7 linked regions of the Sus scrofa genome follow. The protein of the gene in region 6 binds, or shares a complex with, the protein of the main gene of each other region. Links are inferred from orthologs where the notes say so. Each region holds a gene or a part of one and is shown on either strand. Other genes may lie near its edges. The genes, in order: SNW1, SNRNP200, SF3A3, DDX46, PHF5A, SF3B5 and SF3A2.

Region 1 (4,724 bases), on a different chromosome or scaffold from region 6:
GGTCCCTGCCGTTGCTCAGTGGGTTAAGGATCTGGTGCTGCCGTGAGCTGTGGTGTAGGTTGCAGACGCGGCTTGGATCCCACGTTGCTGTGGCTCTGGTGTAGGCCGGCAGCTACAGCTCCGATTCGACCCCTAGCCTGGGAACCTCCATATGCTGTGGGAGCGGCCCAAAGAAATAGCAAAAAGACCAAAAAAAAAAAAAAAAAAAAGTCATTGAAAAAAATTCAGAAACTATTATCATTAGGCATATCTTTAGTCATCATATTAGAAAAGTTTATTATGAAACCATTATATATATACATATATAACATAAGATAAAGCAAATGAGTAATTATCTTAACACATTAGGTACCAATACCATCATCTTCAGAAGAGATATGCATATAAAATCAAAGTTAGGTAAAATCTGTGTAATCCTAATCTTGCATTGGAACTATTAGTATGAATGCATGATGGAGTTTCTCAAAAAGTATGATTGGGAGTTCCCGTGGTGGCGCCGTGGTTAACGAATCCGACTAGGAACCATGAGGTTGCGGGTTCGGTCCCTGCCCTTGCTCAGTGGGTTAACGATCCAGCGTTGCCGTGAGCTGTGGTGTAGGTCGCAGACGCGGCTCGGATCCCACGTTGCTGTGGCTCTGGCGTAGACTGGTGGCTACGGCTCCGATTAGACTCCTAGCCTGGGAACCTCCATATGCCGCAAGAGCGGCCTCAAAAATGGCAAAAAAAAAAAAAAAGTATGTGGATATGTGAACTTTCTAGCTCTGTCCACTGAAAAGGTTTACAAACAGCAATTGCCCAGTAACAGTGAGCATTTGTAGCATCCAGGTCTTTTTCTCTAAATATCACTTTTCCACTTAAAGGAAAGCTCCTTGGAAAAATGACTGATTGAAAGTCTAGGGCAGAAAAAGTACTAAACTAGCCTAGAACGTCGTGTCACACCAGAAATCAAGAGTTGGAGGTGGAGTTGGAGGTGGTGTTGCTGCCTCTGCTCATACTACGGTGTTTGGTTTGTGAATATTCAAACTATACACTTCTGTAGGCAACGTTTCTGTATGTGTGCTATGCTACTATTAAAAGTTTGTTTCTATACCATGGAAAGTTTCCAACGTATAAAAAAGTAGAGAGAATTGTATAAGGAACACCATTTCCCCATTATCTAGCTTCAACAGTGATTAAAATTCATAGCTAACCTTGTTTCATTTACAGTATATTCCATCCACCTCCCTCTTCCCACTGTGAAGATTTCGTTTATCCTATCACTTCATCAAAGACTATGTTGAACCCACAAACTATGTAAAAGACAATCTAAGCCATACATACATAAAGACATACATACATAATACACCTAAGGAGTGTTCCAAAGATAATTACTAAGGATCACAAAATACCTCCCCTGGAGAGTGTTTTGGAGGTGGAGTGTTACGTAGGGAACCGCGTGTAAAAACTTTTGAGTATGAAAGTTTTCAGAGCGCCCAAGAACTCTCTATTCTCCAGTCTCACAATTTCCCAACCATTTGATTTAACCCAACTCTTATTTAACGTTCCCCCCCCCGCCCCCCGAAGGCTTTTGTATTTGGAACCATAACAAAAGAAATGAGACAGAGTGGGGAATAAAAAAAGACTTAAAAAACATCTCAAATTTGTTAGTATTTTGCCTAGGGAATGCTGTATCATGTCATAGTGTAAGAGTGATGCATTTGCGTTTTCTTAACTGAAGCGCTTATTCTGTAACTGGTTAGAAAAGAACCAAATTGTAATCTTGCGCAAAGAACTACAAATCCCAGAAGGCCCTTCGGCTAGGGCGCCTGCGCATCGCGCGCTCCTTCCTCTCCCCAACCCTTCGCGGGTAAAGACCCGCCCCGCGGTACTGTCGCTCGCGCTGGAAGAAGCGGAAGAAGATGGCGCTCACCAGGTGGGTTGTTGATTGGGGTCCTCGATACGGAAGGGTCTGGGAGTACCCTCCGTTTTTATTTCTCTGTTTATAGTCTCCGGGCGGTAGCCAGGCCCGGGCCACAGAGCGACTAGGCCAAGGCTAAGCCCTCCCTCCAGCCGCCGGGACGACTAGGCCTCTCCGAAGCTGGGGTCTTTCCCGAGTGGCTTCCCGGGTTGAGTTCGCCCCCTCACTAGGGCCGAAAGCCGCGGCATGGCGAATAGTTCTCTGGTCTGAGATGCTGAGGATTCGCACGTGTTTTTCGCTTAAGCATTTTGGGGTGGTGGAGATCGCTCCTTCGGGTCCGCGGCTCGGGTGGGCGCGATGGGGGTATGGAGGGCAGTGGCTTATTTGTCTGGGCGGAGTGAGGCGGGCAGGAGGCGACGGCCGGGCCGTTTGTTTGCCGAAGTCTTTTCTTTCTCTGTCCCGAAACAAGGATTCCTTGAAAAACGGGGCCCGACACTGAACGGAGACTTCACATCAGCCACAGTAGTGGCCGCTGTCTCCTAATTCGCGCCGCTGCTCCGCACTTTAACATCGGATCTTAGCATTTCTTCCATAGATAGAACTACTTCACATTTTTGCTGTTCCCAGTTGCCTTGGCAACCGCAAGTAAAGTGGTCCCCGCCCTTAAGAAAAAGATGCTTAAGGAGAAATATTCCTAGTTGTTACGTAACTCCTACTAGTCTGCGACCTTGTTGCCCCATCTAAGAAGAAAAACTTTTCTTACCAACAAACGCCGAAACAGAAAAAGTTGGGTGTCAAACAGGGTAAGGAAAGTAGTCGTGTTAGGAGATCCGCTTGGACTCCCTAAACACGCTTCATTCCCCTCATACACATTTTTCCTGGCTGATGACAGTTAAGAATCCTAAAGATATTCGAATTAGTTCTTTGGGGGATAACTTTCGGGTGCCTTGGTCTATCCTAGGGACTGTGTATATATAGAAGGAAATCTGACAGTCCTTGGCTGCAGGGAAGATGAAGTACAGGAATATAGATATTAAAGGACAACACAGAATGCTTATTGTGTTGTACTAACCTTAATTGCAAAAAAATAAGATGGAATGGGCTAGATGAACTGGAGAGTTTTCTTTAGTAAATAAAGGTTGCAGGCAGCAAATATTCGATTGAGTGCCCTCCAGATGGGAGGCAGTGTGACAAAGACTAGTAGAATTAGGAAGAAAGGCTTTGTGGAAAAAATGGAATTTGAAAATACCAGACATATTGTGGTTATTTTGTGCTTAAAATTGCAGTGACAGAGTTCAGTCTTTAAATAGTTTGTCTTAGGAACTTACATAGCTTTCTGGTTTTGTTGAGTTTTAGCTGACTTGATTTTTAGAGATGGTCTCAAGTTTTCAGGTAAAATATTATTATCTCTAAGATCTACCAGGGATTCTTAACAGCAGGGACTTGACATATTGATGTATTACAGTCTTGGTATCACAGTTGATTGTTACTAACTAAAGATCTAAAGTCATACTGATTTAACTTTCTGAACTCCTGTATTTAAGGTTATGTATCAAATAATTTCATTTGCATTTAATACAATTTCTTTAATAAAGGGGAAAAGATAGACTAAGGTGCCTGTACAGTGGCACTGTTGACATTTTGGACTGGATATTTCGTTCTTGTCTTGGGCATATTAAGATGTTTAGCAATATCTTTGGCCTCTACTCACTAGATATCAGTGGCACCTTCACTCCCTCTCTCCCCTTTACCCCCCAAATTCTAACAATCAGAATAGCTCCAGACCTTGTCAAGTATCTACATTGTAGATAAGTTGCCCCCTGTTGAGAAACACCGAAGTAGACTTTCTGTTTACATATGCAGCCCACTCCCACTATAGAAGTGTATTTCATTATGGGAATGTCATCCTTTATGGGGAACAAGGAGATTAAGACCTTCTGGAAGGCTACGGTGTGTTCTCACCATAATCCAGGTCAGGCTACCTGTTTACTGGATTGTCCAAACTCTGCTTTGGCAGGGTGCCTGCTTTTTGATCATTTTAGTAACTAGTTCTATCAACAGTGCGTTAAGGATCCCACATTGTCACTGCTGTGGCCTTGGTTGCTGCTATGGCTCGGGTTTGATCCCTGGCCTAGGAACTTTTGTATGCCGTGGGTGGGGCCAAAAAGAAAGAAGGGGAAGGAGGGGAGGAAGAAAAGAAAAGAGAAATGAAACAAATATTTTGGCTTCTTTGTTACTGTCTTTGTATCCCTCCCATGTATTGGGTACTGCATGGTTTACCAAAAAGCCCAGAATTTTGATTCCATTCATCCATCCATTTATTCATTCACTCAGTAAATATGCATGTGTTGAAAATCCACCATGTGCAAGGCTAGTGTTGGTTTTACAGCATTGAATCAGTCTTATCCTCACAGCTTACATTCTAGGGGAGACAGACTAGGAGTAAACAAATCAATGATGCAACTTCAGGTATTAAGTACTAAGAATAAAATACAGATAAAGGGATAGAGAGTGACTCAGTGTGGAGTGGAATGCTGTTTTGGTTAAGGTGGTCATTTAGCAGCTGCGAGGGAGGTATAGTGGAGCTGGGACATGAATACTAAGAAACAAGCACTAAAAAGTTTGGGAAAGCGTTTTCTTGATAAGTAAATAGAATTTTTTATGGCAGTGGAAAAGCAAATGTAAAGATCCTGAGACGACTTGTTTAAGGAAAGGCAGTAAGGTTGTAGTGACATAAAAATGGTGAGTGCAAAGGGTAGAGTGAATTTATTTCTCTTGCCAATATTTAAGTAGGCCCAACCATGAGCTAGCTAGATAATTCCTGGAG
Region 2 (4,129 bases), on a different chromosome or scaffold from region 6:
TTTTTTGTATTCTGTCAACTTCTGCCTCTTTTATTCTCCATGTTACCCTTGTAACAGTCCTCTCGGCTGCATAGAATTTTGTAGCCTTTGGTTTTTGCTACTGCTGTTGACTCTTTGTATTGAGGGCTTTGTCCTCTGGTGGGTCCATCTTCCCTGTGTGACTTGGCGTACTCTGGTCCCCACTGTACAGATGGCCGGCTGGTGATGCCAGCTGGCACAGGCATATACACCCAGCTCGCCAGGTCCAGACCCCGCTTCCGTCTACTGTGCAACTAGTTTCTTCCATTTTGTATTAGCTGTGCCTGTCACTCAGGAGCCATCCTCTGTGGATTTGCCCTTGTCCTTTCTTTGGTGACCATATTGTCATTGACTCTTCTTTCCTATAGGATTTCTTCAAAAAGTTCTTATATGAGCCTTTGCCAGTAGAGTCTCACCTGGACCACTGTATGCATGACCACTTCAATGCAGAGATTGTCACCAAGACCATCGAGAACAAGCAGGACGCCGTGGACTACCTCACCTGGACCTTTCTGTACCGCCGCATGACACAGAACCCCAACTATTACAACCTGCAGGGTCAGCGGGCTTAGGAGCACATGTTATCCTTTTGCGGTTTCCACAGCCCTTGCTTGCCACCTCCCCATGACTCCCCGCTTACCTCTCACCTTCGCAGGCATCTCCCATCGTCACCTGTCTGACCACTTGTCAGAGCTTGTGGAACAGACCCTGAGTGACCTGGAGCAGTCCAAGTGCATCAGTATTGAGGACGAGATGGACGTGGCGCCTCTGAACCTGGGCATGATTGCTGCCTACTATTACATCAACTATACCACCATTGGTGCGGGGCCACCGGGGGCTGGTCTGAGGGGAACCTGAGCTTAGAGGGACCCTAGGCGGGGTCTGCAGCACAGAGGGATGAGTTATGACAGCCTTCCCGGGCCCTGTGTATTTGCCAGAGGAAAGCAATGCGGGCAGAGGTGGGGTAGCCCAGGCATTAACTCTCCTCCCTGCTCCTTTTCTGTCTGCGTTGACTCCTCCCACATCTCCTTCCCTGTTTCCCAGAGCTCTTCAGCATGTCCCTGAACGCCAAGACCAAGGTGCGAGGGCTTATTGAGATCATCTCCAATGCGGCTGAGTATGAGAACATTCCCATCCGACACCATGAAGACAACCTGCTTCGGCAGGTGAGGCTGTCATGGCTTCAGAACACCCTTGGAGTTGAAACTTGGCGGTGTGCCCACAGCACGTGATCCCCCGTCGCCACTGGCTCAGGCCTCACTTGCCTCCACACACGTCTCAGCCCCCAAGATGCACCCCTCCACCCGCCCCTGTGTTGTGAAGTATTGTGAGCCTGGGTCAGGTGGAGCTGTGGGCCCCAGAGCAGGGCCACCTCTTCATCACCGGCTCTTTTTCTTCCACATTCCAGTTGGCTCAGAAGGTCCCCCACAAGCTGAATAACCCCAAGTTCAACGACCCACACGTGAAGACCAACCTGCTTCTGCAGGCTCACCTGTCCCGCATGCAGCTGAGTGCTGAGCTGCAGTCGGATACAGAGGAAATCCTTAGCAAGGTATTGTTTGGGCACGGGGCTGGGCACAGGGGTGGCCCACGTGCCATCTGAAGCAGCAGTTTTGAACCACCCTCCCTTGCTCTCCTACCCGTGTTCAGGCCATCCGGCTCATCCAGGCCTGTGTGGATGTCCTCTCCAGCAACGGCTGGCTCAGCCCAGCCCTGGCAGCCATGGAGCTGGCCCAGATGGTCACGCAGGCCATGTGGTCCAAGGACTCATACCTGAAACAGCTGCCACACTTCACCTCAGAGCACATCAAACGCTGCACAGACAAGGTGAGCCGGGCCTGGGCCTGGAGTGTTGGTGGCCGAGCCTGAGTGTCCTGTGCTGGGGCGGGGGTAGTGGGAGGGGAGACTTTTTCTGAAGGTGTTACCCACGGAGATGCTAGAGAGCCTGATGGTTGTGGGCCGAGTCTTTAGGTGACCTGGTAGTGTAGGAAGTCAAATCAGCTGTTCTTTGGAGCCAGTTCCCTTTGCTGCTAGTCTGCATTCCCTCATCTTCCCTGACCTCTGAACGCCTACTGCAGGGGGTGGAGAGTGTCTTCGACATCATGGAGATGGAAGATGAGGAGCGCAACGCGTTGCTGCAACTGTCAGACAGCCAGATTGCAGACGTGGCCCGGTTCTGTAACCGCTACCCCAACATCGAGCTGTCCTACGAAGTGGTGGATAAGGACAGTATCCGCAGGTGAGCCAGAGAGGGCCAAGGCCCTCCCCCAGGGTCCCCACTGGGCACAGCTCTGATGCATACCTTGTGTTTGTCCCTGCAGTGGTGGGCCAGTTGTGGTGCTGGTGCAGCTGGAGCGAGAGGAAGAAGTCACAGGCCCTGTGATCGCACCTCTCTTCCCACAGGTACGGCTACTAGCTTTACCAGGGCTGCCCTGAGGCCCTACTAGCTGGCTAGAGTCTGGGCCAAGGGGTCCACAGTCACTGGAGTGATACCCAGGTATTTGGTATTTAGAGTAATACCCAAGTCATTTGGGTGAGGATTAATCTTGGGGCCATGGGTGATTGTGGTGGGAGTTTTTGCTTTAAAGCAATTTAGGTGACTGGTTCAAAGTCCCAGTTGTGCAGTGCCGTCGATATCCATGGCTATGAAGAATCATTTATCTTTACCTCTAAGTGGTCCAGGATAATTGGGCTTTTCTAGCTGGTGTTTCTTCTCCCCCCTTTCTCACTGCTACATACTGTTTCCAGTAGCTTGGCTCTTTACTGCCCAAAAGGAAATCTGACCCCTTACAGGGGAGAATGACTGATGGCTGAAAGCAGAAACTAGATACACTAATGTTTAATTTTATAAATGTGTTTAATAGGTTCTGAGGAAAGAGCACTTTAACTGGAATTCTTGGGCTTTCTGGCAGAGGAGCAGCCAGCAGAGAGGGATTCTTTATGGAGGCCAGGCCTGCTTTGGATCCTCTTCACTGGCAGGCTCATCTCCATGTTGCCATGTTTTCCTCTGACATACATGCTTTCACTTGAAAGGGTCTCTGAGGAAGTCCAGGTTGCCAGGCCCCACAGACTAGATGTCTAATCGTGGAATCTTGGATTTAGTGGCAAGCACTGAATGGGAGAAGGGACTTGGACCAGGAAAGGAGCCAGAACCAACAAATGAGTTCACCTACCTACCTAAAAGTTGATTTCTCTTGAGACACCTTTAGACAGTTTAAAATCTTAAATTAATTTTGGGAAGAAATTTTAGAAAGCTTTCTTTCTGGTTTTTGTTGTAACTTTCTTTTCTCCTGGTGTCATGGCCATCAAGTCTTTTTTTTTTTTTTTTTTTTTTTTGTCTCTTTGCTATTTCGTGGGCTGCTCTCGCGGCATATGGAGGTTCCCAGGCTGGGGGTCGAATCAGAGCCTACGCCAGAGCCACAGCAACGCAGGATCCGAGCCGCGTCTGCGACCTACACCACAGCTCACGGCAACACCGCATTGTCAACCCACTGAGCAAGGGCAGGGATCGAACCCGCAACCTCATGGTTCCTAGTCGGATTCGTTAACCACTGCGCCACGACAGGAACTCCCATCAAGTCTTAATACTCTGAAATTGTTGGCTTTTGGTCACTACAGAAACGTGAAGAGGGCTGGTGGGTGGTGATTGGAGATGCCAAGTCAAACAGCCTCATCTCCATCAAGAGGCTGACCCTGCAGCAGAAGGCCAAGGTGAGTGTGTCCACTGGCCCCAGCGCGTTCTGAGGTGGGCAGGGTGAGAACTCTTCCTCTGCATCGGAGCTCACCCTGAGCTCTACCTGCTCTCTCTAGGTGAAGCTTGACTTCGTGGCCCCGGCCACTGGTGCCCACAACTACACTCTGTACTTCATGAGTGACGCCTACATGGGGTGTGACCAGGAGTACAAATTCAGTGTGGATGTGAAAGAAGCTGAGACAGACAGTGACTCAGATTGAGTCCAGAGGCACCTGCTCTTGAACAGGAAGGGTTGAACCTGAATTAGGAACCTGCACCCCGTATGGGACCTCCATAGTGGCGACCCGGTCTGTGTGAAGTCTGGCCAGTCAGTGCTACAGTCCCGGCCCATCCACTACTTTCCTCTGGCTCCTTCAA
Region 3 (4,129 bases), on a different chromosome or scaffold from region 6:
GGAAAAGAGACTTGTGCCACTCATGTGTCCCTTCAAAAAAGAACGTGCCATTTAACTGCAGGGAGCATAACTAGCTGACATACTACAACTCCAGTGCTTTCAGATTCTCCCTAGGTTTAAGCTAAGGCCATTCTCTTCTTAGGCAGTCCCCAGCCAGAGACCGAGCACAGAGGCAGGTACCATGGCCTGGTTATTTCTGCCCAACGTGAGACTCTTCTAATGAGGAATATTTGCTCCAGAGCTCCCCATTGTGCTGAATCAGAGGGTAGCTGTCTGCATCATGGTCTAGGATCTCCCCGCCCAGTCCTGCTCTCCTTTTTGTCTTTCATGGGTAATAACCCCCAAAAAACTGCTTATGCTCTTAACTCTGTCTTGAAATCCGCTGCCCAGATGATCCAACTGGCACAAAGAGGCTTTTCTCATTCCAGTAATCATTACACCTTCACTATTCAGCCCAGAGGCCAACTCTTTCATGAAAATTCTTTCCTAGTCTACCCCATCCCTCAGTTAGTCTTTCCTTACTTTATGATCCTTTCATGTTTTGTGACAGTGAGTGTCTGCCACACTATATTGTAAAATCATGAAGAGCGGGGATTACATCTCAGTTATCAAGAACCCGTTAAGCATTTGCAGAGCTGACCAAAGCTTGGCTGTAGGAGAAGTGGAGAGGGATGAGTCTGTGATTACTCTGAGCTTTCATGACTCTAACAGAAATGTTGTTTGTTCCCTTTATGGAAATAAGGAAGAAGAAGGTAACCTATTTGCACTGGAGAATGAGTTTTTATATATATAGATTATCAGGTGTTACAACATCTAAGTAGAAGTGTGCCATAGGCAGTTGAAGTTGGGTGCCTGAGGCTTGAAAATTACATCACATGGACTTGATGGTTGTAGCCGCGAATCAGAGTTTTGGGAGGGGGAAACGATGTGAAGGGAGCCTGTCAGCTTCTGCGTGCTTTGGGGCACATTCAGAATAATGTATTTAGCAAAGGAGGAGCCTGAGAGGCCTTCCGTCATAGGTCACATGGCAGCTCCAGGTAACATCATACTCTTAGCAAACGAGTTTCAGAAAGGCAGTCACTGATATCAGCTGTTGTTGATTGGTAACCACCAGAGTCGTGCTCTGCTGAAGTAGTGAGAATGGAAATCTGGTCACGGGCGCAGGTGGATAATGGAGAAATAGTAGTGTGCCGTGTTTAACATGCATTTGAAAGATTGGCAGATAGGAGTTCCTGTCGTGGCTCAGTGGTTCACGAATCCGACTAGGAACCATGAGGTTTCGGGTTTGATCCCTGGCCTTGCTCAGTGGGTTAAGGATCCGGCGTTGCTATGGCTGTGGAGTAAGGCCAGCGGCTACAGCTCCGATTAGACCCCTAGCCTGGGAACCTCCATGTGCCTCGGGAGCGGCCCTAGAAAAGGCAAAAAGGAAAAAAAAAAAGAAGGAAAGATTGGCAGATAAAAGGAGAGGAGAAGCAGAAGGACCCTAAGGAAGATAGGGAAGGCATACGCATTTAAAAAGGTAGATGGAGAAATGAAGAGACCGAAAACATCAGGAGAGACTATTTATTGAACCTAAGTGGAAGATGAACGTACCCTCCTGTACTTACGTGTGTCTCCTCACCCCCTTTGGAGAGTAGCAGATCTTTTGCTAACCGGGAAGGAAGACAAGAGGACCATTCTGGTGTGTTAACCTTGTCCCAGCCCTGGTAGAAGGGTGACAGGGAATAAGTGGTTAAATAAATGATTGGAAGGATGCCTAAGATATACTAAGGGAAAGGAAGGTAAGTCCAATTATGTGAAAAACAATAATTTTGCCCTTGCCGGTATCTGCTTGCACTAATACTTATATTTGAATACATAGAGCAGTGGTTTCCAAATTTTGCTGCACATTTGAATCTGAGGGCTCTTTGAAAAGTACTGTTCCCTAACCCCCACCCTCTGATTTAATTGGTATTAAGTGCATCGGGATTTTTTTAGCACTTTCCTCGGTGATTCTAACATGCAGCAAAGTTGGAGAATGGCTGGCTTTTAAAATAAAGTCTGGTGGAGTTCCCGTCGTGGCGCAGTGGTTAACGAATCCGACTAGGAACCATGAGGTTGCGGGTTCGGTCCCTGCCCTTGCTCAGTGGGTTAACGATCCGGCGTTGCCATGAGCTGTGGTGTAGGTTGCAGACGCGGCTCGGATCCCACGTTGCTGTGGCTCTGGCGTAGGCCAGTGGCTACAGCTCCGATTCGACCCCTAGCCTGGGAACCTCCATATGCCGCGGGAGCGGCCCAAAGAAATAGCAAAAAGACAAAAAAAATAAATACATAAATAAAATAAAATAAAGTCTGTTAATGGTGGTTATCTTTTCTTAGGAAAATTATTAAAAAGGGGCTTTGATTTTTTTTTTTTTTCATTTGTTTTTGTATTTGAGCTTTTGTGAGCATGTGTTAAACTGTGCAAAAAGGAAGAAACAAGGTAATTAGAAACTAGAAATAAGCTCCTGATGAAAAAGCAAGGCCAAATAAAGCATCAGAAATCCATTTCTATACAGCCCATTTCTGTGATGGTGCAACTTTTTTTTTTTTTTTTTTTCTTGCTCTTTAGGGCCACACCCACAGCATATGGAAGTTCCCAGGCTAGGGGTCCAATTGGAGCTACAGCTGCCAGCCTACACCACAGCCACAGCATTGTGGGATCTGAGCCTCATCAGTGACTTGCACCACAGCTTATGGCAACGCCAGATCCCCGACTCACTGAGCGAGGCCGGGGATCCAACACAAATCCTCCATGGACAGTAGTCAGATTTGTTTCCACTGCACCACAACGGGAACTCTGATATTAAAACTTTTTTTTTTTTTTTTTTTTTTTTTGTCTTTTGTCTTTTAGAGCCGCACCCATGGCATATGGAGGTTCCCAGGCTAGGGGTCAAATCGGAGCTGTAGCCACCAGCCTATATCACAGCCGTAGCAACGCAGGATCCGAGCCACATCTGCGACCTACACCACAGCTCACGGCAACGCTGGATCCTTAATCCACTGAGCAAGGCCAGGGATCGAACCTGAAACCTCATGGTTCCTAGTTGGATTTGTTTCCACTGCGCCACAAGACAGCAACTCCTGATATTGAAACTTTTATGTTGAGTCATCTCTCTGAGCTTTTCTCTTTTTCGTGTCAGATCTGTGTGCCAATGTCAGTGGAATTTGAGGAGCTCCTGAAGGCTCGAGAGAATCCAAGTGAAGAGGCACAAAGTAAGCAGGGTTTAACATCTCCTCCCAGCACTAGCAGAAATACAGGTTAATGACAGAGCTCAAATTTGGCCTCAGAGCCCTAGAAAATAGCCCCAGAGAAACGTATAGCCAGGTTCCCTTAGCGATCTCTTTTCTGGTTTCTGGATTAGATTGTCATCCTAAATTGGCCTTGGACAAAATTTGCTAGCCCAGCTCAAATTCACTGACCTGGAAAGCCAAGATGTCCTCACTTTGTGAGCATGGGGAGGATATTTGGGTCAGGGGCTGCATTATGAACCAAGGAACTAGCAGTCCACTCGCTAGTGGAGATGTCACGTCCAAGAAAGTGGCCTTTAGTATGTGAATCATTGCTGTCTCTGATCCCTCCAGATTTGGTGGAGTTCACAGATGAAGAGGGATATGGTCGTTATCTCGATCTCCATGACTGTTACCTCAAATACATTAACTTGAAGGCCTCTGAGGTAAGACCCAGGAGAGGGGGAGAGTGGCTCTGATTTGAGGGGTGTGTCAGGACACTGGACGGGGGCTGCTAGACTTGAAACAGAGTGTCTTCCCTGAGTTTTGTAACTGTTACATAGATATTAAAGAGGTGGCATGTTTTCTTGGAGTGAAACCATTTTCAAAATGAAAGTTGGGTTTCTACAGTGAAGACAATTATATTCTACTTATAAATTTAATTTTATTAATATAACATTTTGCTTATGTAAAATAAAAAAATGTTTTTAACTCGCAAATACTCAAGCTCCTGTGTTAGGCACACAGAGTGGTAGGTACGTGAAAGATATGAAAATGTAATCTTCACCAGCAAGGGCTATTTAATGTCCTTTTTTTAAAGATATTAAAAAAATAACTCACCGTAAGAGATGAGTGAGGTTTTTTGTGGTTTTTTTTGTTT
Region 4 (4,129 bases), on a different chromosome or scaffold from region 6:
ATGTGTTTTCTTTATTGGGCCTGTTTCTTTCCATTTTTTTGGCTATGCTCATGGCTTATGGAAGTTCCTGGGGCAGGGACTGAACTGGTGCTGCAGTTGCACCTGTGTGACAGCTGCAGCAACACTGGATCCTTCACCTGGGATCTTCCAGGGCAGATCTTCCACAAGGAAGAGAACTTCCAGGGTCTTTTTCTGTTTTGTAAATAAATTCACTTATATTATTATTTAGATTCCATATATAAGTGGTATCATATAATATTTATCTTTGGCTGATTTCATTTAGTACAATATTCTCTAGTTTCATCTGTGTTGCTGCAAATGTTTATGCTCACTTGATGGGGTAACCCTTTTCTATCATCAGCTCATCCCAGACTTAGAATAGGGAGAGAAGAAATGATGTGATAGAATGAATTAGATTTTTTTCTATTAACATGCATTGTAAAGATTTATATAGAGAGAACTTAGCAAAACTTCCTTAAAGCCATGTTAGAATTTTTTTTTTTTTTTTTTTTTTTTTTTTTGCCTTTTTGCTATTTCTTTGGGCCGCTCCCACGGCATATGGAGGTTCCCAGGCTAGGGGTCGAATTGGAGCTGCAGCCACCGGCCTACGCCAGAGCCACAGCAACGCGGGATCCGAGCCGCATCTGCAACCTACACCACAGCTCACGGCAACGCTGGATCGTTAACCCACTGAGCAAGGGCAGGGACCGAACCCGCAACCTCATGGTTCCTAGTCGGATTCGTTAACCACTGCACCAGGATGGGAACTCCTAGAATTATTTTTTTTAATTTAAGCTTTTAGTTTTATATTGTTACTGTTTGTAACTTTTTTTTTTTTTTTTTTTTTAGTTCTGCACCTGTGGCATATGAACGTTCCCAGGCTAGGGGTCGAATTGGAGCTACAGCTGCTGGCCTACAGTATAGCCACAGCAACGCTAGATTCAAGCTGCATCTGAGACCCATACCGTATAGCTCACAGCAGTGCCGGATCCTTAACCCACTGAGCAGGGCCAGGGATCGAACCCAAATCCTCATGGATACTATTTGGGTTTGTTACCACTAAGCCACAACAGGAACTACCTTGTTGTTATAACTTTCTGTGAGGCAAAGAAAAAATTAAACTAATTCAGAAAATAAAGCCAAAAAATCTTTTTCAGGAGAGAATGGTTTTAAAAGCTAGTAGGGGAAGGGTTCTTTTGTGGCCTAGCAGGTTAAGGATCTGGCATTTTCATTGCTATGGGTCAGGTCAGGTCACTGCTGTGGCTTGGGTTTGATCCCTGGCCCAGGAACTTCTGTATGCCATGGCTTCGGCCAAAAATAAGAATAAAAATAAAAGCTAGGGGTATTTAATCCCATAAGGGGAAAGTAGTAATGGATTTAGCTCATAATTTTTCTCTTTAATTACAGTATTCTTCAGAGGAGGAGGAAGTTGATCTTCAGACGGCCCTGACAGGTTATCAGACAAAGCAGAGAAAGCTTCTAGAACCAGTCGATCATGGAAAAATTGAATATGAACCATTCAGAAAAAATTTTTATGTTGAAGTTCCAGAACTGGCAAAAATGTCTCAAGAGGGTAACGTTTTTATTCGTTTATTGGTTATTGTGGGAACAGAGGAGAACACACTTTACCTTACCTGGGAGCCATGTCAATAGGCCTCTGAGTTGATGCAGGAGGAATTTGCCTGGCTTACCTGAAGAACTAAGCAACTAGAGAGGGAACTAGAAGGTAAGAAGTCATTCTAGAGAGTGGGACAACATCCGCAAAGATGTGCAGCAGTGAGAAATTAGTGTGTTTTGGAAACATTAAAAAAAGGAGCAAAAATTAGTTTGGCTCATGTGGTTTAAATGTTTGTGGTTGAAAATACTCATCCTGTGCAGTTAACAAATAGGATATTGTTAGCCTTGTCTGAGGTTTGAGTTAGGAACCAATGTCAATGTTGTGATACCGAAAGAATAAAGATAATTTGGGCAAGTCTTGCTTGAAGAACTGTCGTTGTATAACTTGCCAATCATTGTTCTTTTATTGTTGGTACAATTTAAGTCAAAAGAGAAGCCAAATTGCAGAAACGGGGCTGTTTTTTACCTCTAGTCGGTTGCTACTCGAATCACTTTGAGCTGTTTAACACTTTGTCATATCGCCTTTCTGTGGAATTACCTTTGGGAGCCCTAAGAAAAAGTCAAAGAGTCTTAATCTTACCATGCCTAATGGAAAAGTAGAAAGCACTCATATAGACCAATATTGAAGAGTTTTTAATCTGGATTTTGTTTTGCAGAGGTGAATGTATTTCGGTTGGAAATGGAAGGCATTACTGTCAAAGGAAAAGGTTGCCCCAAACCAATTAAATCTTGGGTTCAGTGTGGGATTTCCATGAAAATCTTAAATTCTCTCAAAAAGTAAGTGTTTAGTGGTTGTCCACATTGTTCATTATCTTGCTACTCAAAATAGCCCTTTGCACAAATAATTCCTTTGCTTACATTTTTATTGTGATGGAAACACTTGATTATTTTTCTTAAAGAGCTTTAAGTGAGATATAATATACATACCATAAAGTTTACCCTTTAAAGCTTACAATTTGATAATTTTTAGTGTATTTGTGGGATTGTGTAGCCATTACCATAATCTAATTCTAGAACATTTTCATTGTCCCAAGAGAAGACCGGTATCCATTCATTGTCATTTTTTCTCTCTTCTCCACATTAGGCAGCCACTGTTGTACTGTTTCTAAAGATTTATCTATTCTGAACATTTCGTATGGATGAGATAATAATGTAGTCTCGTGACTGGCTTTTTCACTTAGCGAAGCAATTTATTTATGATATAAAATGTCTCAGTACTTCATTCCTTTTTGCCAAAGAAAGTTTTACCGTATGGTTATACATTTTGGAAAACCTTTACACTTTGAGAGGCCCAGAGATCACAGTTCTTACTTTGTCTTCCTTTGGTTTGCTTTTTAAGGCATGGTTATGAAAAGCCCACGCCAATCCAGACCCAGGCGATTCCTGCTATAATGTCTGGACGAGATTTGATTGGTATTGCCAAGACAGGAAGTGGAAAGACCATTGCCTTTCTGTTGCCCATGTTTAGACACATCATGGATCAGAGGTCTTTAGAAGAAGGCGAGGGACCAATAGGTACAATTCCTTTCATTAAACTTTCTTTGCAGGTAACAACTTTGTTGTCAGTTAATCAGAGAGACGTGATGCTTTGTAATGTTAATTATAACAATAAAGATGTCTTATGTACATTTCCTTTACAAATTTGGCACTTTGGGGCTGATTTCCCCTTACCAGCAGGTGGAGTGAGAATCTTCAGAGCTCTGGCGTGACATCTCAGACGTACAAAAACAGCCTCTCCTGGCACAGCTCAGTTTTTAAACTCTGACCTGGCAGGTAGACTCCTCGTGCATCTATCTGTTTATTTATGTTGAGGTTTGTTCTTAGCCCATATCAGTGGATCTATAAACTCAACATAAGACTGTAGGGAAGTGTATTTCTTTTTTTCTTCTTCTTCTTCTTTTTTTTTTTTTATTTTTATTTGCCTTAAAAGGCTGTAGTGCCAGCATTTCATTCAGGAGTAGGTCTTCAGATTCCGTTTTCTTGATTCACTTGGCAGAGATCTCTTCTCCAAAATTTGAGTAGGGTTTCGGAAAGTTGTTCAACTCCTCTCTTGGCAGCAGAGGGCACAGTACATTTCTCCTCTGCCTGTGCCCCTCAGACCAAGGCTGTTTCCGGAAGCCACGGCATAGTTCTGCAGCACAGTGAGTTACTTGATTGCCTTTGCTCTGTGATTTGCCGTAGAGAATGATTTGCATTCTTGTCAACCAAGTATTTTCCTGGTGGTCGAGTAAGGCATTTAACTCTTCCTTCCAATAGCATGTTCTTAAAACCTACTTAAAATTATCCTTTGCCGCAATCTCTGCTATTATAAAAACTTTTGAAAAAGAGTTTTCAGAGGTACATAAAATAAATGAAAATGGAAATTAGACTAAGATCTGAACTGGATTGCAGAGGTTGAATTTAACACTAAAGCTTAGCCTCCCAAGAATTTTGGTGGTTAGGCTTTTGACATATTTTTCTTTTCAGCTGTCATCATGACTCCAACTCGAGAACTGGCTTTGCAAATTACTAA
Region 5 (4,741 bases), on a different chromosome or scaffold from region 6:
AGCAATGTAACTTTAAAAAAAAAAAAAAAAACTTCTGACAACACAATACTTTCTGAGAGTACAGTACACTACTTCTTTTTAAATTCTGCAATAATAGTTGTGCTACTTGATCCAATGTAGATTCACAAATTTAAATGTAAAAGGTTGTCGGAGAATGCTTGCTTGATTTTTTATTAACGAAATACGTTCTTGACATTGAACCTTTGAGTGTAACATCTTCCTAGGGTTGTCAAGTCAGGAGTGAAAAAAAAAGAAATGGCAGTCAGTCAATCTTCTAGATGGTTCAAAAGAGGACAGTCAAGGTCAAACTGTTGAGTCTCTTTTACCCTCCCCATCTAGTAACTGAAAAGCAACTGATTGTGAGCTCAAAATACGCCATTCTGGAACTCCCACAAATACAAATGTCAGCTCCAGGACCACACTCTGGCTCAAAAAGTTCTGTGAGGGCAGGCTGAAAGGGACAAGGAGAATGGGGAGTAGTAGGGCAGATGCTCAGGCCACAGCACTTTGGTAAGACTCAGAGAGCAGAACTTTTACCTGTTTTCTAACAGCGTCATCACCTATCAAATAAAAATAATCATCTCCAGAAATGATGATATGAATCAAACGATGTGGTGAGGAATTAAGTCTTGCAATCTTGTGCAAAGCTGAGAGACTACTGTCATCATTACTATTTGCTACATCTGGGCACGGAACCCACCCCCTCGAATTCTTGGGTACATGTTCCGCAGGATCCCCACAAGATGGAATAGGTCATAGTTTTTTTTTTTTCCCCCCCTACAGACTCCATGTTTGGCAACCGTAGATGCACCTGGCTAGCAACTCTGTGCTACTGAGATGAAAAGTGAGGCCTTCAGGCTCTGGGCCTAGCGCGCTTACCAACCACCGCGCCCCCCAGTCACCTTGTCCTCACCTTGAGGAACGGGGGAGGAAAAAAAAAAAAAAAAAAAAAAGCCTTACGGGGGAAGAAACTGCGGTCCTCAAAAATGAGAAAGACGTGCCTCCACTCTTCACCCGGCCGCCGCTTCTTAGGCCCTTGCTTCCAGCGGGGCGGGGACAGGGCTGAGAGCTGACTGAGCCGGGGACGCCCTGACCTCGGGCGCCAGAGGAGCGGGTATTTGCGCTGGGCCCGCGCAAGGGACAGGTACGCGAAAAGTCGGCCGGAGGTCAGGCCCGCCTCGCCTTGCCTTGCCCATAGCCGCAAGCGCAAAAGAGGTACCCCGCCCCCGTAAACCTAGAGGGCTCTCGGTTCGCTCACCTGCAGCCGGGTCACCAGTAGGCTGTAAGGCGCCATTTTGTGCACTGACAAAGATGAGGTCGCTTGAAAGTGACGTGACACGCGGCTTATTTAAGGCCTTCGGTGAGGGGCGTGACCTGAGGAGAAACGCGTCACGCTGAAGGCGTTCCCGCGAGCGACGTGGGCGGAGCTCCAGAGTCAACCTGGGAATTGGGAGAGAGCTGCCTAAAAAGTTGGGGTAGTAAATACCCGGCACAAAGATATCAAAGTGCAAATTTCGTCTTTGCGCTCTGCAACTTGTCCCTCCCATTCAAATCTGGGAAAGTTTTTTTTTTTTTTTTTCCCTAAATGACCCGCACACCCCTACCAAGACCTGACTCCCCCACTGCCAACGGGAATTCGTCTTCGGAATTTAAGTGCTTTGATCACGCGAGAATGAGCGGGGCTTGGTGCAAAGATTGCAAACGCTGATGGACGCCTAGAGAACCAATCAGGGCGACGAGGAGGCAGGAACAATCAGGGTTAAAGGTCTGGCGGAAGCTCCCTAAGCTTCCGGTGGTTTGAGCGCGAGCGATGGCTAAGCATCACCCGGACTTGATTTTTTGCCGCAAGCAGGCTGGTGTTGGTGAGACGGTCTTCTGCCCCCGGCTGTTTGGGTGGGGATGGTATTAGGACCTTAAGAGTCCGGGGTTCCCATTACTCCTTTAGGGTGTTGCTTCGGAGGCGCCCCGTTTCCCGCCTCGCCGCCGGTAGTGTAGGAGCGCGTGGGTTTGTGGGCTCAGATGAAAGGGGGGCGGGGGCGCGCGTGCTGAGAGCTGGAGAGGGGCTGCGGAGATAGAGAAATTCTCAGTTTTCCCAGGACCTGGGAGGTCTTACGAGGGTGCGGATTTGGTTCGGATTGAAGTTTATGAGAATACGATGGTTAAGACCTCTCAGGGCTCACTGCAGACCCTGTACCTGTCCCCAACTCAAGCTCGAGGCTTTTGTCCCCTCTTCTAAACCTTAATCCTAATTGTACTCTTTATCACCTTTGATCTTGCAGCCATTGGAAGACTGTGTGAAAAATGTGAGTGGAACACGCTTCTCCAAACAGCCCACCCCTCCCACTCAGCTTCTATAGTGGCAGCAACGGACATTTTCAGCGGTGCCACGAAGAGGGCTTTGGATAGACATGATTGGAAGCATGTTAATACAAAGCCAGACTGCAACTAAAGGCCACCTTCCCGCTCCAACTTGTACATTTTAGGCACTGTATTTAGGTTTTGACAAAACCTCTAGCTTTGGACCAGAAGTAGCATGACCCTGCCCCCAACACACACAGCATTCTGCCAGTCAATTATATAGACTTATCTACCGACTGCTATTCTAAGCCCTTTATATTAATTGATTAGCTTTCCTATGTGTTGGGGAGATTGAGAAATGGACGCTAGGTAAACCAATTTTATAATGCCAAAATAGAGGGCTAAAGTCACTGTCAGAAGGACATAGTGTTTTTACCCATAGCAGGAAGAGGACCTGAGGTACTTGCAAGTGGGCGTAATTCAACCTCTTTTCCTTACAGGTGATGGCAAGTGTGTGATCTGTGACTCCTACGTGCGTCCCTGCACCCTGGTGCGCATATGTGACGAGTGTAACTATGGCTCTTACCAGGGGCGCTGTGTGATCTGCGGAGGCCCGGGAGTTTCAGATGCCTATTATTGTAAGGAGTGCACCATCCAGGAGAAGGATGTGAGTGTATACTAAGCTTTTCCTCTGATCTTTCCTTTCGTTTAGGAACACTTGGCCATCCACAGCAGACTCCTATGGTCAGGAGATGGCTGTTCAGCCAGTCACCTAGGTTATAATTTTCAAGTTCTGTAAACCAAACTGGGTGTACTCCAACAAAAGGTAGTTATTTTGCATCAAGTACACAAAGGCGAGAAAAGCAAATTTTTGTCAACACTGGCAATTTGATGTCTTTCTCTCTCTCTTTTTTTTTTTTTTTGGCTGTGTCCACATGTGGACGCTCCCAGGCCAGGGATGAACCATGCTGCTGTTGTGGCCTGTGCCACAGCTACGGCAATGCCAGATCCTTAACCTACTGCACCACAAAGGAACTTTCTCTCTCTTTTTTTTTTTCCCCCCAGAAACTATGCTGCATTTTTAAATCATACCACAGTGCATGATGTGCAGAAGTCACTAATTTGTGCTACCATTAAGGAACGTTAGGGTGGATGTGATGACTTTTGAATTTGGGACAGTTCAAGTTCATTTCAGCTCTGAGTGGCTAGAGAGTGCCTTTGGTTGATTTTGCAGAATTGATTGTAATTCTTGCTCATGGCATTTTTGCCCCTTGACATTTTTTTGGTGCCAGTGGCTTTTTTTTTTTTTTTTTTTTGCTATTTCTTTGTGCCGCTCCCGTGGCATATGGAAGTTCCCAGGCTAGGGGTCAAATCGGAGCTGTAGCCACTGGCCTACGCCAGAGCCACAGCAACGCAGGATCCGAGCCGCCTCTGCAACCTACACCACAGCTCGTGGCAACGCCGGATCCTTAACCCACTGAGCAAGGGCAGGGATCGAACCCGCATCCTCATGGTTCCTAGTCAGATTCGTTAACCACTGCACCACGACGGGAACTCCGGTGCCAGTGGCTATTTATTCAACTCTTTGAGCCAGGATAGAGGGCTTGTAGATCTATTCCAAAAGCAGGCTTGGGGTAGGGGAGGTTAATCAGCTTTTATTCATATGACACAATAAATAAAAGGAAATGTGATATAGTACCAGTAGACTATTTATTATAAGGTATCTGGTTACCTAATCTAGGATAAGGCATGAGATAAAATATTTCTTAATTTTTCCTTGTGCAAAGAATAGGTAGTTTCTATGTGGGTATTATCTTCCATATTCTTCACAGTAACTTTGTTAAATAGGGATTATTACTATCCCCCTTTTACAGTCTGTCCTGCAGCTAATAAGGGGCAAGCCCCGGCTGTCTGTCTAAACCTGGTGATAGCTGCAATACACCTTATGGTCCTTTTGGTGGGATGTGCCTGGTTGACGAGAAGCAACTCAGCAATCTTTACATTTGGATCCTGTCTACCTTTAATAAGTGGGACATGTCACACCAAATAAAACTTTTTTTTTACACCATTAAGTCTTCTCTTATTTAGGGAGATGAGAAAGATCATAAAGTACCAAAGACAAATTTTCCCTTGGTGATGTGAACATTCTCCTGTCCTAAACTCTGATTTGTGTTTACTTTTGATTGTCATATCATACCTGTTTGATCTGATCCACCAGGTAGATTACACTCCCTTTACAGAAAGAAGCTTGGTTTTTGTGTTTGTCTCCCCTTTTCCTCAGTTCAAAGTATAATCCCTGCGTGTATTGTAGTATGGTCCACATTTTTGTCGCTACCCCTGTAAGTCATCCGTAAGCGTTCCCCCTACAGGGTGTCTGGTACATAGTAGGTGTTTGGTACTTATTTAAAGTCTCTATATATTCTATGGTGAGACAAGAGCACTG
Region 6 (3,120 bases):
AATTCTTCGAGTTTATTTGTATAGCTTTATTTCTTTCAAAAATGAAAACCAAAATAAAATAACAAACTTGGAAATGAAAATGGCAAAATGGCAAGGTATGATATATCTGGATGGTAAATCCACAGGTATGCCTTATAATAACCTCTATGTTTCAGAAATGAAATATTTGTTATAACCAAGTTCACACTTAAGGGGGAAGTTTTTTTTTTTTTTTCCAATTTTTGGTACAGGCATTTGATCCCAGAGGGAACTGTTTTACCACTAAAATTTTTTAATAAAAATTATATATATTTAAGAGGTGCAACATGATTTGATATACATATACACAATAAAATGGTACCACAAACTAATTAACATATTCACCTCCTCACAATTTTTAGTATTGATACAGTATTAACTATAGTTAACTATAGAGCTCTAAACTTACTAGTCCTATCTAACCGTAACTTTATACCAGAATAAAGATACTTTAAAGTTATCTTTCTCCCAGTAAAGAATTTATTTGGCCGTCATACAGGTTTTTTTAATCCATTCATCAGATGTTTTTTGAGAAACAATCTCTGCGAGGCTCTGTGGCTAGCATAACAGAAGCATATGATACAAGACATCATCTCTTTTTCATTAATATTTTTAAAAATATTACTATTTGAATTTATTGAACTTCGCATTTTGGGGTTTTCTTTGTGGATTTCATGCTACAAATAGATCAAGTAGATAGATGTCTCACCCTCAAAAAAAAAAAAAGACATCATCAAAAAAGTAGTTTTTCTCAAGTAGTTTGTATTCGTGTGGGGAAGTTCTTAAACCAAAAACTGGATATAAAGTGATAATAACAAAGAGATGTACAGGATGAAAAGAATTTACATCTGTCTGGAGTAGCCAAAGTCAATTTCAGGGAGATACTTTCGAGCTGACTTAAAAGGGAGAAGTGTTTGCCAGGGGAACAAAAGCATTCCACGCAGATGGAACAGCTCGTACAGAGAACTGGAGAGAGCAGCACGGGAACGTTTGAGAAGTAGAGGCTGAGGGCCTGTAGGTGGGGTGAAACTTGTTGGGAGGATGTCAAAATTAGAAGCTCAAAAGGAGGAGCCTGTTGTGGGGGCCTGAATGTGTCGGAACTGGTGCTGTACTTAGGTCACTAGGCGGGAAACGGCGGCCCCGCAAGCGATGAAAGAAGTTTCCACACAACTTGTAAGAGACATGGCTGGGGTCAGACCTTGAGTTTCCTGACTTCAGGGTGATCCACCCCTGGTTGTGAAACGGCTACTGTACCCTCTGTAGCTCCGAAAGCGGAATTGCACAAAGAGCTCCTTTCCCCAGTTGCTTACAGCCTTGTACTACTTGTTTCCCACTTCCTCTCGGCCCCCCATCCGCCCGAGGATGCTTCCTGCCTCCCAAACACCGCAGTCCATTCAGTCTCTCAAACCCACACACAGAGGTCCCAAGAAGTCTCTGCGAACCAACCCTCGGAAACCACAAGTCCCAGCATGCAAAGCTCCTGTTAGAAAAGGGCCGCTAGATGGACCAGCATGCAACGCTCTGCGAAGGAGGCGGGGCTCTCTATAGGGAAGGCCCACTGGTAGCGTTGCCGAGGCAACTCCAATTCCGTGACAGAATACACTTCCGCCTGGGAGGCCGGGGACCGCGAGTCGCGCTGCTTTGTCGCTGTGACGCCATCCACCTGCGGCCGCGCGTGTACAGAGGTTCCGGCGGGTGGCTCCTCTCCGGCTTGAAACCTTAGAGCGGCTTCTTCTCGTCTGCGGCTTCTGACCTGCGAGCAAAGGAAAAAGCAACGAGATGACAGACCGCTACACCATCCACAGCCAGTTAGAGCATCTGCAGTCCAAATACATCGGCACCGGCCACGCCGACACCACCAAATGGGAGTGGCTGGTGAACCAGCACCGCGACTCCTATTGCTCCTACATGGGCCACTTCGACCTTCTCAACTACTTCGCCATTGCCGAGAATGAGAGCAAAGCGCGAGTCCGCTTCAACTTGATGGAGAAGATGCTGCAGCCTTGCGGCCCGCCCGCCGACAAACCGGAGGAGAACTGAGACCTCACCGTCTCACCGCTGTACGTGAGCACCTCTCTGCGTTCCTCCGGTTTGTCGTCATTCCCGCGGGTTCCTCTCCCAAGTGGACGGATTCTTCATAGCTCTGCTTTTCGTGCTTTCTTTGTACAGAGGTCCTTACCCGGGGCGTTCCGTCCGACCTGCCTTCCTGTGGAACAAAGTGTTGGGAGACCCGTCATAACCCCTGAGAAACTGAACAGTGGAGAGATCCTAAAGTCTGCAGACGTTAGAGGAGATATGGCTGGAGTGAGATGGGATTAAGAGGCTCGTTTTTGGCTAGTTGACTGTCTTCGTTGCTTTTTCTATAAAGTTTAGAAATGTTTCGGTCTCTTGGTGTGGACTACTTGTGTTCTGGTGGAGGGGCCAAGGAGGGCTCTGGGACTGTGGTTTGCCGGGTGGCGGGGGGTATAAAGAAGGGAAGGGTTGGGGAGGGGTTCAACAGTAGCACAGGGCCAAAGTTCGTTGCCAGACACTTAAATACGCTCTTTATAATATTCTCCAACCCTGACTTCTCCCAGGAACTTTTCTCAGGCCCTTAACACATTCACTATTGAGGTTTGTGATCACTGTGTCCTTTTTCTTTCATACAAAAAAAAAAAATCTTGACTCGCTTTGCCTTCTCTCTGTAGATTACACCTCTTTCTTTTGGAAATACGTGGACATATCTTGAGTATTGACAAACTGTCAAATTAGTTCTTAAATTCATTCAGCAAATACGTGTTGAATTTTATGTGGCAGGCTTTAAGGACCTATATTACACTGGTTGGGGGAGCAGAAGACCACAAAATTTGCAGACATAAGCAAGCACATGTTGGAGGGTGCTGTGGAGAATGAGAGTAGCAGTAGGGTTGCAGTTTTAAGTAGAATGCTCAGGAGTTCCCATCCTGGCTCAGCGGAAACAATCTGACTAGGATCCATGAGGATGCAGGTTTGGTCCCTGACCTCACTGAGTGGGTTAATGATCCGGCTTTGCTGTGAGCTGCAGTGTAGGTGGCAGATATGGCAGGGATCCTGTGTTGCTGTGGCACAGGCCAACAGCTACAG
Region 7 (4,637 bases), on a different chromosome or scaffold from region 6:
GAGCAGCCCCCTTCTGCCCCAACTTACTCCCACCTCTGCCCAACCCAGAACTGTCCTCTCCTCCAGCCCCAGCCTGGGCTCACTGCCTCCCACTAGCTGGCTTTGAGTTGAACTGTATCCCCCTCAAAATATATGTTCAAGTCTTAAAACGTTTAAGACGTTTTCTGGGACCGTGACTCTGTCTGGTTGTGGGGTCGCTGCGGTCCTAAGTAGCTAAGGTGAGGTCACACTGCAGAAGGGTGAGCCTCTAACCCACAGGTCTAGTGTTGTTATGGAAAGTGAAATCTGGACACAACCACCCTGAGAACAGTATCCTGTGAAAACGGAGACGAAGATGGGGTGACGCTTCTACAAGATAAGAAATGCCAAGGGTTGGAGTTTCTGTCACGACCCAGTGGAAAGGAATCCGACTAGGAACCATGAGGTTGTGGGTTCAATTCCTGGCCTCGCTCAGCAGGTTAAGGACCCGGCATTGCGGTGAATTGTGGTGTAGGTCACAGAGGCTTCTCAGATCTGTGGCGTAACCCAGCAGCTGTAGCTCCCATTCGATCCCTAGCCTGGGAACCTCCACATACCTGAGGTGCGGCCCTAAAAAGACAAAAAAAAAAAAAAAAAAAAAAAAACCAAAGCCAAAGACGCCCCAGAAGCTGAGAGAAGAGGCGTGAGACAGAGATGATTCTTCAGAAATACACAACTCTGCGCCCACTCTGATGTCAGACTTCTTGCCTCCCGCCCTCCTCGCTGCAAGCTCTGCCTGGGCCCCACGGGGAGGAGCCAGGGCGAGTGGGGCTGCTCGGGACAATGGACTTTGTCGGTAGAGATGCAAGAGGGGCCGGGGCGGGGCCGGGCAGCTTGGCCGCAGTTCGCACTCACTGATGGAGAAGCCGCTGGGCTCTTCCTGGGTGACTCTGCAGTGTTCCAGCAGCAGGGCTCCGACGGGCTGAGGGCAGATGGACGCGTAAGGGGCGGTGCGGGGAACCCTCCAGCCACCCAAGCCCGTCCCACGCCTCAGACCCCGGCCCCGCCCCCTGGCTCCGGTCCCCCCCCACGCCCTCGCCCCGACCCCCTACCCCCAACCCCGCCCTCCCCAGCGCCTAACCTCTGCCTCGTCCGTCCGGAAGTAGAAGAGGAAGTTGACCACCAGCTTCACCAGTCTCCGCTTCACCACTACGGGAACAAGGAAGGCTCGCGCGAGTTCGGTGGCTGCCCAGCCCCGCCTGCCGCCCGCTTGGGCGCCCCGGGCCGCTCACCGCTTCCTTTTTTCGGGCCCCTCATGCCCAGCTCAGCCGCCATCTCGGCCGGCTGCCGGGAGAGCGCCTGCAGCTCCTTCTCGTTAAAGCGCATGGCGCCGCCGGGACCCGGAACGCGGAACGAAAACCGCGCCTTACCGGCCGCCGTCCCCACTCGCGCCGTTGCCGGCGCCAAAAGAGTCCCACCGCACCGTTCCGGAAGCGCAGCCCGGGCAACTACGCCTGCGCGTTCTGCGGCCGCTCAGCCTGTCAATCACTGGTGCGTGTCAGTACAGTGCTGGGAGCCGCCTGGATAGAACGTGAACCCTCACGGGGCGCACGGGATAGTGAGCAAGGTGGACGGTTGCCATATACAACCATGCAATAAGGTGGCCCGCCACGACCCATGGCGCCCTTAACTGAAGCGACCTGGAGCATGCGAAGTGGAGGTGGGGCGAGACGCAACTCGCTATCCCGCGAGAGGTGGCCCCGCGAATTAGGCCCACCGAGAGAGGGTGGGGGCCGACGCGCACGCGCACTTCGGCTTCCGGCCCACACTCCCGGCTCGCCACTCACCTCCAGCATCCGGAACGTCTGCCCCGCGCCGCTAGGCGGGCTGGGCATGCGCACACGGAAGGCCCCGCCTCGCCTGCCCTCGGAAGTGCTTCCTTAGCCCTTGGCGCGCGTGCGCCTGTCGAAATTGTCGCGGCGGCTGTGGCGGCAGAATAGGCGGTTACGGTGGAGTCTGAATAGACTACGGCAGTGAGGCCGCGCAGGCGAGTCAGGAGCGGCGAGGGGCTAGGGCGGAGACCCCCGGGAGTTCCCTGGAGGGGAGAGGGCGAGGGGCGGTCGGCGGGGGCGCAGGCTGAGAGTGGGTGCCCGCTCCCCGCCCTCTCGGAGCTCGGGCCATAAATGCCGGTCCGGTAGGGCGGCAGCTCCCGAGGCGCTTTCCGTGTGCCCCGGCAGTCGCCCGTTGGTATGCTGGCCATGTGGTCTGGGAGTCACCTGGTTTCTGTAACGGGTGGGGGTGACGGCGAAACTCCTGGCACCGCACCCGAGGCCACCAGGGCCCGTTAGCCAGGCCCGTTTGGCAAGCGGTGCCACAAAGTTAAATGATTTCCCCACCTGTCACACTAGGTGCCCGATCGCTTCTTTTTTCTGTTCTTTTGTCAGCTCAGAACTACCAAGAGCAGCTTTGTAAATAACGTTATTCTTTTTGGCTGCGCCGGGTTTGAGGTTTCATTTCTATCTGCCACCCACCCTCTCCAACCTCGCCCTCCATATTCTGAATGTGGATATCGTGAGTTTTGTCAGATCGTGTTTTATTTTTTAGGGCTGAAAATAGTATTCGCTGTTCAGGCAAGCAATGTATTCAGCTGTATTGTTTTTCTTACGCTGTTTTTCCTATCGTCCTCCAAAGCTAATTAATTTCTTCTTTTCCTGTTAGCCTGATTTTCTTTGCCTGTTTTTTTTGTTTGTTTGTTTTGTTTTGCTTGTTTCTTTCTCAACGTGTCATTACTTCACACACTGATTAGTTGTGTTTTCCCACAGATTTAAACAAATGGATGGCTTTTTCTTTCTTTTTTTCTTTTTTTTTATGGCCGCACCTGCAGCACGTGGAAATTCCTGGGCCGGGGTCGAGTGGCAGCTGCAGCTGCAGCCTGTATGGCAGCTTGATGCAATGCCGGATCCTTAACCCATTGATTGAGGCCAGGGAGTGAACACAACCATCTTCACAGAGACAATGTTGGTCCTTAACACAATGGGAACTCCCACAGATGGATTTCTTTTTTCCTTTCTCCCATGGAAATTTCCCTCTTAAAGCTGGCCTAATCCTGCTTTTGGGACTGGAGCCCCCACTTTGCTTCTGAGTGGTTGTCCTAGAACCTTCTGTCCAGGTTACCCTGGTCTGGCTTTAGTTTTCAGTCTGACCATCTTTTTCGTTCCTTTTATCAGAGCATAAGGAGTAGTTTTTGAAGAGGTCAGCTCATTTATTTATTGTGAGTTCTCAGTTAACTGAAAATGGCTTTAATTTACCCCCACAGTCAGAAGTTTGGAAGTAGGAGTTCCCATCATGTCTCAGCTGAAACAAACCTGACTAGCATCCATGAGGATGCAGGTTCGATCCCTGGCCTCGCTCAGTGGGTTAAGTGTCTGGTGCTGTTGTGAGCTGTGGCATAGGTAGCAGATGTAGCTCAGATCTGGTGGTGCCCTGGCTGTGGTGTAGGCCAGCGGCCTCAGCTCCAATTCAACCCCTAGCCTGGGACCCTCCATATGCTGTAGGTTCGACCCTTAAAAAACAAAAATAAAAAAGTTGGGAGTAAAATTCTGGATTAAAAATCCACAGTAGGGAAGTCCCCATTGTGGCACAGAGGGTTAACCCGCCTAATATCTATGAAGTGGGTTAATGATCTAGCAATGCCGCTAGCTACTGCGTAGGTCAGAGATGCAGCTCAGATCCCCCTTTGCTGTGATGTAGGCTGGCAGCTGCAGTTCCACCTCGACTCCTTGGCCTCTGAACTTCCATATGCAGGTGCAGCCCCACCCCCCCCAAAAAAAGAAACCCTCAGTGGGAACTGTGGAATTATAGCATGTTTTCTACATTAAGTGCTGTTCTGAGGGATCTGATCCTGTCCTGATTTCTCATTTCAGTTCTCATTTTTTTCCTGTCTAGTAGAAATTTAAAGTTTTTTTTAGTGTTGTAAAATTTCGTGATCTTGAGAGTCTTTTTGTTTGTGTCTGTGTTAGGACCTTTTTTAACTTTGGAGTTCTTATGTCATTCCTTTGATAATATTCTCCACATTTGGTTCTGTTTTTGGTCCAGGGTTTCTTGCTTTGCCTCCTTTTGTTTTGTTGTTGGTTGTTTTTCATTTTTCTGTTTTGTGTGAAAGCTTTATTTGGCTGACCTTAGAGCACTTGTGTTCAATTTTTTGTTTGGATTATCATGTCTTTTCTTTTAAAGGGTCTGCGTGGTTTTGATTCACCAAACTCACTCTTGGCATGCTATTCAGGTTTCATGGTGCAGTAACATCTCCCATGATCTTGAAGAATATTATTCTCCTTCATTGAGGTTCCACTGGTTTTTGTTGTTGTTTTCTGATACTTGCAATTCCTTGAGTCTCTTTATATTGTTAGCAGTTCTGCATCAAGAGTAGTGCTTTTCGGGAGTTCCCGTCATGGCGCAGTGGTTAACGGATCCGACTAGGAACCATGAGGTTGTGGGTTCGATCCCTGCTCTTGCTCAGCAGGTTAACAATCCGGCGTTGCCATGAGCTGTGGTGTAGGTCGCAGACGCGGCTCGGATCTGCGTTGCTGTGGCTCTGGCGTAGGCTGGCAGCTACAGCTCTGATTAGACCCCTAACCTGGGAACCTCCATATGCCATGGGAGCGGCCCAAGAAATGGCAAAA

Evidence for each region.
Region 1: SF3B5 (region 6) and SNW1 share a complex: the UniProt entries of both Homo sapiens proteins name them as parts of the minor spliceosome. The link is inferred for Sus scrofa from reciprocal best matches to the Homo sapiens genes SF3B5 and SNW1.
Region 2: SF3B5 (region 6) and SNRNP200 share a complex: the UniProt entries of both Homo sapiens proteins name them as parts of the minor spliceosome. The link is inferred for Sus scrofa from reciprocal best matches to the Homo sapiens genes SF3B5 and SNRNP200.
Region 3: SF3B5 (region 6) and SF3A3 share a complex: the UniProt entries of both Homo sapiens proteins name them as parts of the 17S U2 SnRNP complex. The link is inferred for Sus scrofa from reciprocal best matches to the Homo sapiens genes SF3B5 and SF3A3.
Region 4: SF3B5 (region 6) and DDX46 share a complex: the UniProt entries of both Homo sapiens proteins name them as parts of the 17S U2 SnRNP complex. The link is inferred for Sus scrofa from reciprocal best matches to the Homo sapiens genes SF3B5 and DDX46.
Region 5: the proteins of SF3B5 (region 6) and PHF5A are in contact, whole or in part, in a cryo-EM structure (PDB 7EVN), measured with the Homo sapiens proteins. The link is inferred for Sus scrofa from reciprocal best matches to the Homo sapiens genes SF3B5 and PHF5A. Residues at the interface, in NP_112577.1 of Homo sapiens: Arg4, Tyr5, Thr6, Ile7, Gln10, Leu14; in NP_116147.1 of Homo sapiens: Pro6, Asp7, Leu8, Ile9, Phe10, Cys11, Arg12, Ile88, Leu91.
Region 7: SF3B5 (region 6) and SF3A2 share a complex: the UniProt entries of both Homo sapiens proteins name them as parts of the 17S U2 SnRNP complex. The link is inferred for Sus scrofa from reciprocal best matches to the Homo sapiens genes SF3B5 and SF3A2.

The regions. Positions count from the first base shown.
Region 1 is NC_010449.5:100,746,499-100,751,222, reverse strand, and holds the start of SNW1 (SNW domain-containing protein 1), read left to right. Parts: upstream 1-1,808; 5' UTR 1,809-1,898; coding exon 1,899-1,912; intron 1,913-4,724. UniProt on the Homo sapiens protein: Involved in pre-mRNA splicing as component of the spliceosome. As a component of the minor spliceosome, involved in the splicing of U12-type introns in pre-mRNAs.
Region 2 is NC_010445.4:46,956,128-46,960,256, forward strand, and holds part of SNRNP200 (U5 small nuclear ribonucleoprotein 200 kDa helicase), read left to right. Parts: intron 1-386; coding exon 387-576; intron 577-673; coding exon 674-838; intron 839-1,062; coding exon 1,063-1,184; intron 1,185-1,426; coding exon 1,427-1,570; intron 1,571-1,668; coding exon 1,669-1,845; intron 1,846-2,096; coding exon 2,097-2,257; intron 2,258-2,339; coding exon 2,340-2,421; intron 2,422-3,636; coding exon 3,637-3,729; intron 3,730-3,828; coding exon 3,829-3,972; 3' UTR 3,973-4,129. UniProt on the Homo sapiens protein: Catalyzes the ATP-dependent unwinding of U4/U6 RNA duplices, an essential step in the assembly of a catalytically active spliceosome. Plays a role in pre-mRNA splicing as a core component of precatalytic, catalytic and postcatalytic spliceosomal complexes.
Region 3 is NC_010448.4:93,969,423-93,973,551, reverse strand, and holds part of SF3A3 (splicing factor 3A subunit 3), read left to right. Parts: intron 1-3,161; coding exon 3,162-3,234; intron 3,235-3,603; coding exon 3,604-3,695; intron 3,696-4,129. UniProt on the Homo sapiens protein: Component of the 17S U2 SnRNP complex of the spliceosome, a large ribonucleoprotein complex that removes introns from transcribed pre-mRNAs.
Region 4 is NC_010444.4:136,989,300-136,993,428, forward strand, and holds part of DDX46 (probable ATP-dependent RNA helicase DDX46), read left to right. Parts: intron 1-1,407; coding exon 1,408-1,573; intron 1,574-2,273; coding exon 2,274-2,394; intron 2,395-2,956; coding exon 2,957-3,132; intron 3,133-4,083; coding exon 4,084-4,129. UniProt on the Homo sapiens protein: Component of the 17S U2 SnRNP complex of the spliceosome, a large ribonucleoprotein complex that removes introns from transcribed pre-mRNAs.
Region 5 is NC_010447.5:7,069,701-7,074,441, forward strand, and holds the start of PHF5A (PHD finger-like domain-containing protein 5A), read left to right. Parts: upstream 1-1,444; 5' UTR 1,445-1,810; coding exon 1,811-1,862; intron 1,863-2,279; coding exon 2,280-2,303; intron 2,304-2,798; coding exon 2,799-2,965; intron 2,966-4,172; coding exon of another isoform or gene 4,173-4,217; exon of another isoform or gene 4,218-4,370; intron 4,371-4,741.
Region 6 is NC_010443.5:21,229,611-21,232,730, forward strand, and holds SF3B5 (splicing factor 3B subunit 5), read left to right. Parts: upstream 1-1,653; 5' UTR 1,654-1,797; coding exon 1,798-2,058; 3' UTR 2,059-2,078; intron 2,079-2,187; 3' UTR 2,188-2,404; downstream 2,405-3,120. UniProt on the Homo sapiens protein: Component of the 17S U2 SnRNP complex of the spliceosome, a large ribonucleoprotein complex that removes introns from transcribed pre-mRNAs.
Region 7 is NC_010444.4:76,403,364-76,408,000, forward strand, and holds the start of SF3A2 (splicing factor 3A subunit 2), read left to right. Parts: upstream 1-1,518; 5' UTR 1,519-2,005; intron 2,006-4,637. Other genes in the region: PLEKHJ1 (pleckstrin homology domain-containing family J member 1), read right to left, coding at 874-940, 1,100-1,167, 1,251-1,344. UniProt on the Homo sapiens protein: Component of the 17S U2 SnRNP complex of the spliceosome, a large ribonucleoprotein complex that removes introns from transcribed pre-mRNAs.